Linked DNA regions of Coturnix japonica. The protein of the gene in region 1 interacts with the protein of each later gene in a pairwise test. Links are inferred from orthologs where the notes say so. Each region holds a gene or a part of one and is shown in the gene's direction. Other genes may lie near its edges.

Region 1 (3,645 bases):
GCACAAAATCACTGAGTTGTACATTATAGAGGGCATCTAGTTGGTTTTTTTTTAATCTTCTCTTTCCTTTATCTAGTTTTGACTGTTTAAAAAGGGGGGAAACCCCAACAATAGTAGGAACCTTATATGGCCTGTAACTCTAATTTTTCCCCTATTATTTTTCTATATTTCAAAATTTTCTTCATTTTTCTTCATTTTTTTTCATTTTCTTAAACTTTACTACTTTGGCATGCCTAAAAGTCCCTACATAGGTAACAAGGAGGACTACCTTTGAAGAGGCAGCTGAAAAGATACTAAGAAACCAAGCCTAAATTGTCTGTTAATTCTGTATAGTGATTGAATAATCTTCTGATTGAGATAATTAAATTGAGGCTATTGTGATCTACAAAGTATGTTTGAAAGGGAATAAAAGAGCTCTCACATTCAAAGCCTTAGCTTAAGCTTTGTATGCTCTCTGGTTATATAGTCAGTGTGTGGACCCCCCTTAAGAGAAACAGAAACACTGCAGTAGTTGCTTAATTCTTTGGGGACAGCAGGAACACTTCAGCTTCAGTTAAGAAACTGCCACTTTTGGAAAGAATGTTGGTTTTGTAGCCAACGAAATCCGATCTATGTAATCATCTTAGACACTCACACTAATGTTAGCCAGCTTTCCTAGAAGCATGTGGGATGAGTTAACATTAATAAGGGTTCACACTTTTTTAATTTTTTACTTTCCAGAGAATTATATTTCTTTGCAATTCAGTGAATCCTAAAATTATCTTTGTCTTTCAAAGAAAAGAAATCATCACATAAAATTGAAGATGGCTAAAAATAGTTTGCTATGAGTTCTGAGTAAGCCTCATTCAGTAATCTTAAATTTACTGAAGTGGAGCATTACTAGCAGGGATGCTTGTGAGAAGTTCAGACCTGACAGCTCCAGAATCCCCGCTAGAATTTGGTAGAACAGGAGGGCAGTTTCCATATATCAGTGTGTTGGGATGGATCTCTTCTTTATCACCTTGCTATGAATTTGAGAGGCTTTGCTGTCGTATTCCAAATAGCTTTGTCCAGGATAAGTTGCTTCATACTCTGCTTAGATATCTGTTCTTTTTCCTAGATTGTCTCCCCATAGTGCAATTATGTTGTATTCATCTAGGTTACAGCAGTATTACAATACCCCATGTACTTGTTAATGACTAAAATTATTAATAGTTATGAATTCTATAAAAATATTTCATGATCAATTGGTCTTGTGTTGCTCAACCCCTCTCTTACGCTTCCCATGTAGTGTTTAAACATTGAAAATGACAACCTGGCTGAAGTGAGCACAATCACAAGCCCTGAAACCAAGCCAGCAGAGATGCACAACAGCTATAATTACTACAACTCATTACCCATCATGAGAAAAGATGTTAACTGTGGTCCAGATTTCCTGGAGAACATTGAGGGTCCTTTTTCCAGCATTTTGCAGCCAGAAGACAGCAGCCAGCTGAACGTCAACTCTTTAAATAACACATCAACTGTGAGCTCTGATTTCTGTGAGGATTTCTATACCAGTTTTATATGCGCAAAGGGGGACAGTGACACAGTAACGACAAACACTATCAGTCAATCACTTGCAGATATTTTAAGTGAACCTATTGATCTTTCTGATTTCCCGCTGTGGAGAGCTTTTAATGATGACTACTCAGGAACTGTACTAGAGTGTAATGATTCCGACTCTGGTATTTCACTGAATGCAAATTCTAGTATAGCATCACCTGAGAACTCTGTTGAATCATCTACCTGTGGAGATAAGACTTTGGGTTGTAGTGATTCTGAAATGGAAGACATGGACAGTTCTCCTGGAAGCGTGCCACAGAGCAATGCTAGTGTGTACTCATTGCGGTTCCCTGATCAGGTACTTCCTTCTGTGGAGCCAGGCACTCAAAAATCCAGCTTACAACGTATGAACACACCAAAGAAAGACCCTCCTGCCGGCCCAGGTCACCCTAAAGCTCCATTCACAAAAGATAAGCCTTCGGGCCGTCTTGAAGCTCATCTCACAAGAGATGAGCAAAGAGCAAAGGCTCTGCAGATCCCTTTTCCAGTGGAAAAAATCATCAATCTCCCTGTTGATGACTTTAACGAAATGATGTCTAAGGAGCAGTTCAGCGAAGCCCAGCTTGCACTTATTCGAGATATACGCAGGAGAGGCAAGAATAAAGTGGCTGCTCAAAACTGCAGAAAGAGAAAACTGGAAAATATAGTGGAACTGGAGCAAGATTTGAGTCACCTAAAAGATGAGAGGGAGAAATTGCTGAAAGAAAAAGGAGAGAATGACAAAAGCCTTCGTCAAATGAAAAAGCAATTAACCACCTTATATGTTGAGGTGTTCAGCATGCTGCGCGATGAAGATGGAAAGTCTTACTCTCCTAGTGAATACTCACTGCAGCAAACTAGAGATGGCAATATCTTCCTTGTTCCCAAAAGCAGGAAGGCAGAGACTAAACTTTGAACTGCTTGAAGAGCAGCACGGCTGGCTGGTGTTCTCCGAGTTACTATTTTTGTATCGTTAACCTAATAGCTTTTACTGTGAGGTGGAATGCAGAATTAGGTAATATTTTTCAAGTAATTCTATGCAATGATGATTTGAAAATTAATAGTAAAGTTTATGAAAGGTGCGAGTTCAAAACTAATAGTGTAATGCAGATGTATGTATGCAAATTTGTAATCTCACTTTTATAACAGGTATTTCCTTCTTTTAGCACCACTTCAACTAGTTTCCATACATGTGTAAATATTTAAAGATACCGTATTTATATACTGTTCTTATCTCCTGTTATATTCATAGATTTGATATATAAGAATAATTCTAGCCTCCTAAATGTAATTTCTTGCAATACGAACAGAATGGCTTCTTACTCTTTTGTAAAAGAAAAGAAATGCAATAGCGTTTGTTTCCGATTTTTCTTATGCATTTATAAATGCTTTATATTTAATATATGATTCTAATTTAGTGTCAAGTTGATACTCATTGTTTGATTTTTGATTCATCTTACCAGTTCATTAAACTTTTTATTATTATTATTATTATTATTTTTTACACCATAGGCATTTATTTCCCTGAAGTAGGTTATATGCTGATTCAGATACCCTCACTGGTTTTCCAAGGATAAGTCTTCATGCAACAAAATACACTTAACAAGCAGAGACATATCACACAGCATTATTAATGGTCACCATAATTTTAACTACCATTTGGAAGGATTGTGTGCCAAATTTGTTTCAGGCCTATACTATCTTAATATAATTTGTTTTGCTCTCAGAACACTATTGATAAGCTCATGATGAGATCTCCTCCAAAGGCATTAGAATCTGTTTAATTAAAAGCAGTGTCAGCATTACATATTTTTTCCAACTAATAAATTCTGTATACCTTTCACTAATTATTATTGGAATTCATTATGCATCTCTGACTGATCAGCAGCCATCTTTTGTCACTGCTGTTCTCTCTGAGGTGATGGAAAAAGATACCCCCATGGCCAAGCACTGCGCTCTGTGGAACCTGGGCTCCATTTGTTGAAAGAATGTTGTGACTTGTGAAGTTATAAGAGATGAAAAATTGGGCAAATAAATCACAGTGTTTCATTTATGCCTCCGCTGGACTCGTTGTATTTGATC
Region 2 (4,254 bases), on another chromosome or scaffold:
GCATAGGAAGGAAAAGTTTCAATCCCCCTTTTCCCAGCTTTGGGATTGCTCCCACCTCAATGATATAGGGGTTGCTTCCTCGCACAGCATAGTGGAAAACCGTCTCTCCTTTCTTGTCTGTAATATCCACTCGTGCGTGGCATTCCAGCAGCTCCTGCAGGCAGGTCATGTCTCCCTTATGGCACGCCAGGTGCAGCGGGGTGCAACCATCCTCACTGTCTGTGCTATTCACACAGCTGTAACAGAAGACACAACGTTACAGCGTAGAGAGGCTGCAAAGATGAGGATCTACCTCTGCAAAGACCTACAGCCCTACAATGGACCCTCCTCCTGACACACAGCCCCAACAACGCCAGGCCCACAGGAGATTGCTCTGCACCCTCACCTGAGTACACGGTTGTGTCGGAAGGTCTCGTGCAGGCCAACCTCCACTGCTATGTGTGCAGAGGACCAGCTGGGATGGTTGCGGATGCAGTCACTGAGCTGCTGCAGAACCTCCAGCGACAGGGGCTGGGCTGAGCTCTCATAGAACGGCCGCAGGTGGCCGGCATAGTGCTCAAAGCGCACCAGGGCTTCTGCTTCATCGTCCAGGTGGAAGAGCCTGGAGGGGAGAGGTAAACACAGAATCATTAAGGCTAGAAAAGACCTGTATGATGATGCAGTGCAACATCAGCCCATCCCCACCGTGCCCACTGCCCACGTCCCTCAGTGCCACATCCCCACGGCTCTGGGACACCTCCATGGACAGTGCCTGCACCACCTCCCTGTGCAGCCCGTTCCCTGCAGCCCCGCTCCATGGGCCCTCGCTCAGTGCCGCGCAGTCAGCGCAGCGCCCAGCACGTACCGTACGGCCACGGCCGGGCTCTGCGGGTTGAGCAGCACGGCGTCCCAGCCGCGGCCGTTCCCGTAGAGCCGCAGCCGGCCGTCCTCCCGCAGGGGGCCCAGCCCCGAGTACTGGGCGGCGGGCAGCTCCTTCACGCGGTACGGGCTGCCGAACGCCTGGCTCAGGAGCCGCCCGAGGAACTGCATGGCGTGCGGCTGCACGGCCCGGCCTTCACACAAGCACGGAGCGCTGCGGGCCTACGGCGGCGCTGCGCTTTTGTACCGGCCAACCCTGACGGGAAGCGCCCGCGGGGACTCAGGGGAGCCGAGGCCCGCCAAGGCCCGCCACCCTCACTGCCCCCAGGCCGGACCAATCAGCTGCGCCGCTCCCGGGGAGGAGCCAATGGGGAGGAGCCAAAGGGGAGGGGCTAATAGGTCTCCCTCCCAATGAAGGGTGGGCGGGTTGTTGACGTTTGAGCCGCGCGCCGCCATCTTTGAAAAGGTCGGAGAGAGGGCGGGGCGGGGCCGGGCTGCGGAGGGGCGGGGCGATGGGGGGTGACGTCACCGCATGACTGTGTTTTTATGAATGAAAGGAATCCGCGGGTGAGTAATCGCGCGGAGCTCGGCTGGGAGCGCATCGCATCGCCGCACCCCACAGCACCGCACGGGGCACGGCCGGCACTCGGCACAGCCGGCACACACGGCACAGCCGGCACACACGGCGCGGCCTCCGGTAAGCGGACGGCGGGGTCGGGAGTTTCCGGAGCGGGGCGGTCGGTGGGAGCTCGGGGATGGCGTCTGACCCCCGGCCCTGATTGCATCAGCTCGGCTCCTCCCGTGCTTCGCCCCCCGCCGGCTCTTTGGAGAGGGCGGGGGAAGGTGGTCCGGAGTTGGGGCCGCTTCGGGCCCTGCGCCCTCTCTTCTCCTCTCGTAATGGCGGAGGGGAGAAAATATCGGCCTCTCCCGCCCTCACCTCTGCCCCAAGAAAGCGGCAGAGTGGCGGTCGAGGGGTGCAGAAGGGGTAAGTGGCTCTCGCCCCCTCCTCCTCCCCTCCCAGCGCTGCTGAATCACGGTGAGACGGCGCCCGCTCGCCCGCGACGTGGCCGCGGCCCGCACCCTTCGACCCCACCGCGAGCCCCGGCCCTGCCCCTATATCCCCCCCCCCGCCCTCCTCCGAGGGAGCTCCCCTCGGCCCCATGGCACTGCGTCTCCGGGGAGGGCCTTCCCACGTTGTTGTGGTTTGTGTGCTATTATTATGGGCTTCGCATAAAAGAGTGAGGTGGAGCTGGGCGGGGATCGGCATCACCCGCCGTGTTCCTTTGCTGGCACTCAGCCGCTCTTGGGCGTTTTGTAGGGCCGGTACGGGACAACCATGGCTGCGGATGGGCTGTCCAGCAAGGCGCTAAAGGTGAGTACTGGGGAGAATAAGAGCTATGGGGGGGACCGAGCAGTAGGGTCTGGCATCAGGAGGGGGATGGCACCGGGAGTCCAGCATGAGGGATAAGCATTGAGGAGGTCCAGCATGGGAAGCTGGCAGTAGGGACTCCAGTATAGGGGACTGGCTTTGAGGTGCAGCATGCGGGAATCACACTGGGGAGGTCCAGCCTCAGGGAGCCCCAGAATGGGGAACTTGCACTGGAGCCGTAGCATGGGGGATTGGGGGCGGGTCCATCACTGGGGATCGGTGCTGGGGAGGTCCAGAACTGGGGATTGGCATTAGGGATTGGTATTTGGAGGTCTGGCACTGGGGGTTGGCATTGGGATCTCACCTGCTCCTCCACCCAACAGGTGAAGCGGGAGCTTGGAGAGAACACACCGCTGCTGTCGGATGAGGAGTTGATGGGGCTGTCGGTGCGGGAGCTCAACCATCACCTGCGGGGCCTTTCCAAGGAGGAGGTGGCGAGGCTGAAGCAGCGACGACGGACGCTGAAGAACCGGGGCTACGCTGCCAGCTGCCGGGTGAAGCGTGTCTGCCAGAAGGAAGAGCTACAGAAGCAAAAGATGGAGCTGGAATGGGAGGTGGACAAGCTGGCCCGGGAGAATGCTGCCATGCGCCTGGAGCTTGATACTCTCCGTGGCAAGTATGAGGCCCTGCAGGGCTTTGCCCGCACTGTGGCTGCCCATGGGCCCCCTGCCAAAGTGGCCACTGCCAGCGTCATCACCATCGTCAAGTCCGGTGCCAACCAGGCTGCCTACTCCTAGTGCTGGCCCCATCCCTCGGCTGGGCACTGTCCCCCCCAGGGCGCCTTCCCCTACATACCGACTCGAGGCTCTCCTTTGCTGGGAGCTGCACCCCAAATCCTTCCCTCTGGTCCCCCAGACCTCTGCTTGTAGGGAGGACTGCCACCATGTGTGTACCGGGTGGACAGCACCTTATTGGAGATCCCATGGGGGAAGCCCAAAGCCCGGTATTGCCCCATGGTCCCATCCCTTGCTGCATCAGTGGGTGCATGCAGGAGGGGATGAGTCCGTGTGAATGGATGGAGGCAGGGAAACACCTCACAGCTCCAAGCTGGCAGGAAAACACGGTGCACCCTATTTTTGGGGGGAGCTGAGTGCAGGGCAGGCGCTCCCAGGAGCATGTGCCAGAGAATGAACTGGGGAGGGAGTTTTGCAGAAGGATGAGGATGAATGGGGTCAGCACTGGCCCAGTGAAAAGGAGTGGAGGATGGTAAGAGAATGTGCAGGTCCGGAGGGGAACAGAAAGTGGCTGCAGGTTGGGGTGAGCGGGATGGCATAGCGCTGTGACGGCGATGGAGGGGGACCCTTGGGCAGGGGGCATCTGGGGGCTGTGAGGCAAAAAGGAGATGTGGAGGGGCTGTTTTCTCCCCATCACGGATATCCTTCATGCGTCTCTTTGACCTAAGTGGGACACTCGGCCCAACCACGTGCCTGGAACACAGGCAGAGGCAGGAAGGAAGCAAAGGCAGCTGGAGTGCAGATAACTGCTGTTTTGCTGGGATGGCCCTGCCAAGCCCTGTGCTCTGCTGGCTCCAGGGCTTAGGCTGCAGAGAGCGAGGAGTCAGAGGTGTATGGAGGGCAGAGCATCCCACTCCTGGGAGCTGCCTGGCAGGCAGCTGCTTCTCCCTTGGGTTTTCCTCCAGCTTGGACACCAGCACAGAGGTCTGGGCATCGTCACGCCAGCCGCCCTTGGCTGCAGCCTCCGTCCCTACCCAGAGAGGTGCCCCCCAAAGGGCACTGTGTTAGCATCCCCTCGGCCCCGCTCCCCCTGGGTTTATTTATTGCACGAACGTAAGTTATTTTCACGTCCTCTTTGCCATTCCACCTCTCGGCACAGCCAGGATGTTGGTACAGAGCCGTACTTTATATTTTATATATGCAAATCACATTTTATCTTATATAGAGCAAAAAAAAAAAAAAAAAAACCAACAAAAAAAATACTATTTATTTTCTGACTTACAGTCTGTGTCC

The links. The genes of interacting proteins can lie anywhere in the genome.
Region 2: the proteins of NFE2L2 (region 1) and MAFF interact in binary tests that used the Homo sapiens proteins (3 or more experiments, as listed by UniProt). The link is inferred for Coturnix japonica from reciprocal best matches to the Homo sapiens genes NFE2L2 and MAFF.

The regions. Positions count from the first base shown.
Region 1 is NC_029522.1:14,074,718-14,078,362, forward strand, and holds the end of NFE2L2 (nuclear factor erythroid 2-related factor 2), read left to right. Parts: intron 1-1,270; coding exon 1,271-2,479; 3' UTR 2,480-3,617; downstream 3,618-3,645.
Region 2 is NC_029516.1:46,518,758-46,523,011, reverse strand, and holds the start of MAFF (transcription factor MafF), read left to right. Parts: upstream 1-1,379; 5' UTR 1,380-1,555; intron 1,556-1,613; exon of another isoform or gene 1,614-1,843; intron 1,844-2,176; 5' UTR 2,177-2,194; coding exon 2,195-2,230; intron 2,231-2,610; coding exon 2,611-3,024; 3' UTR 3,025-4,254. Other genes in the region: PLA2G6 (85/88 kDa calcium-independent phospholipase A2), read right to left, coding at 56-236, 386-601, 845-1,029. UniProt on the Homo sapiens protein: Since they lack a putative transactivation domain, the small Mafs behave as transcriptional repressors when they dimerize among themselves.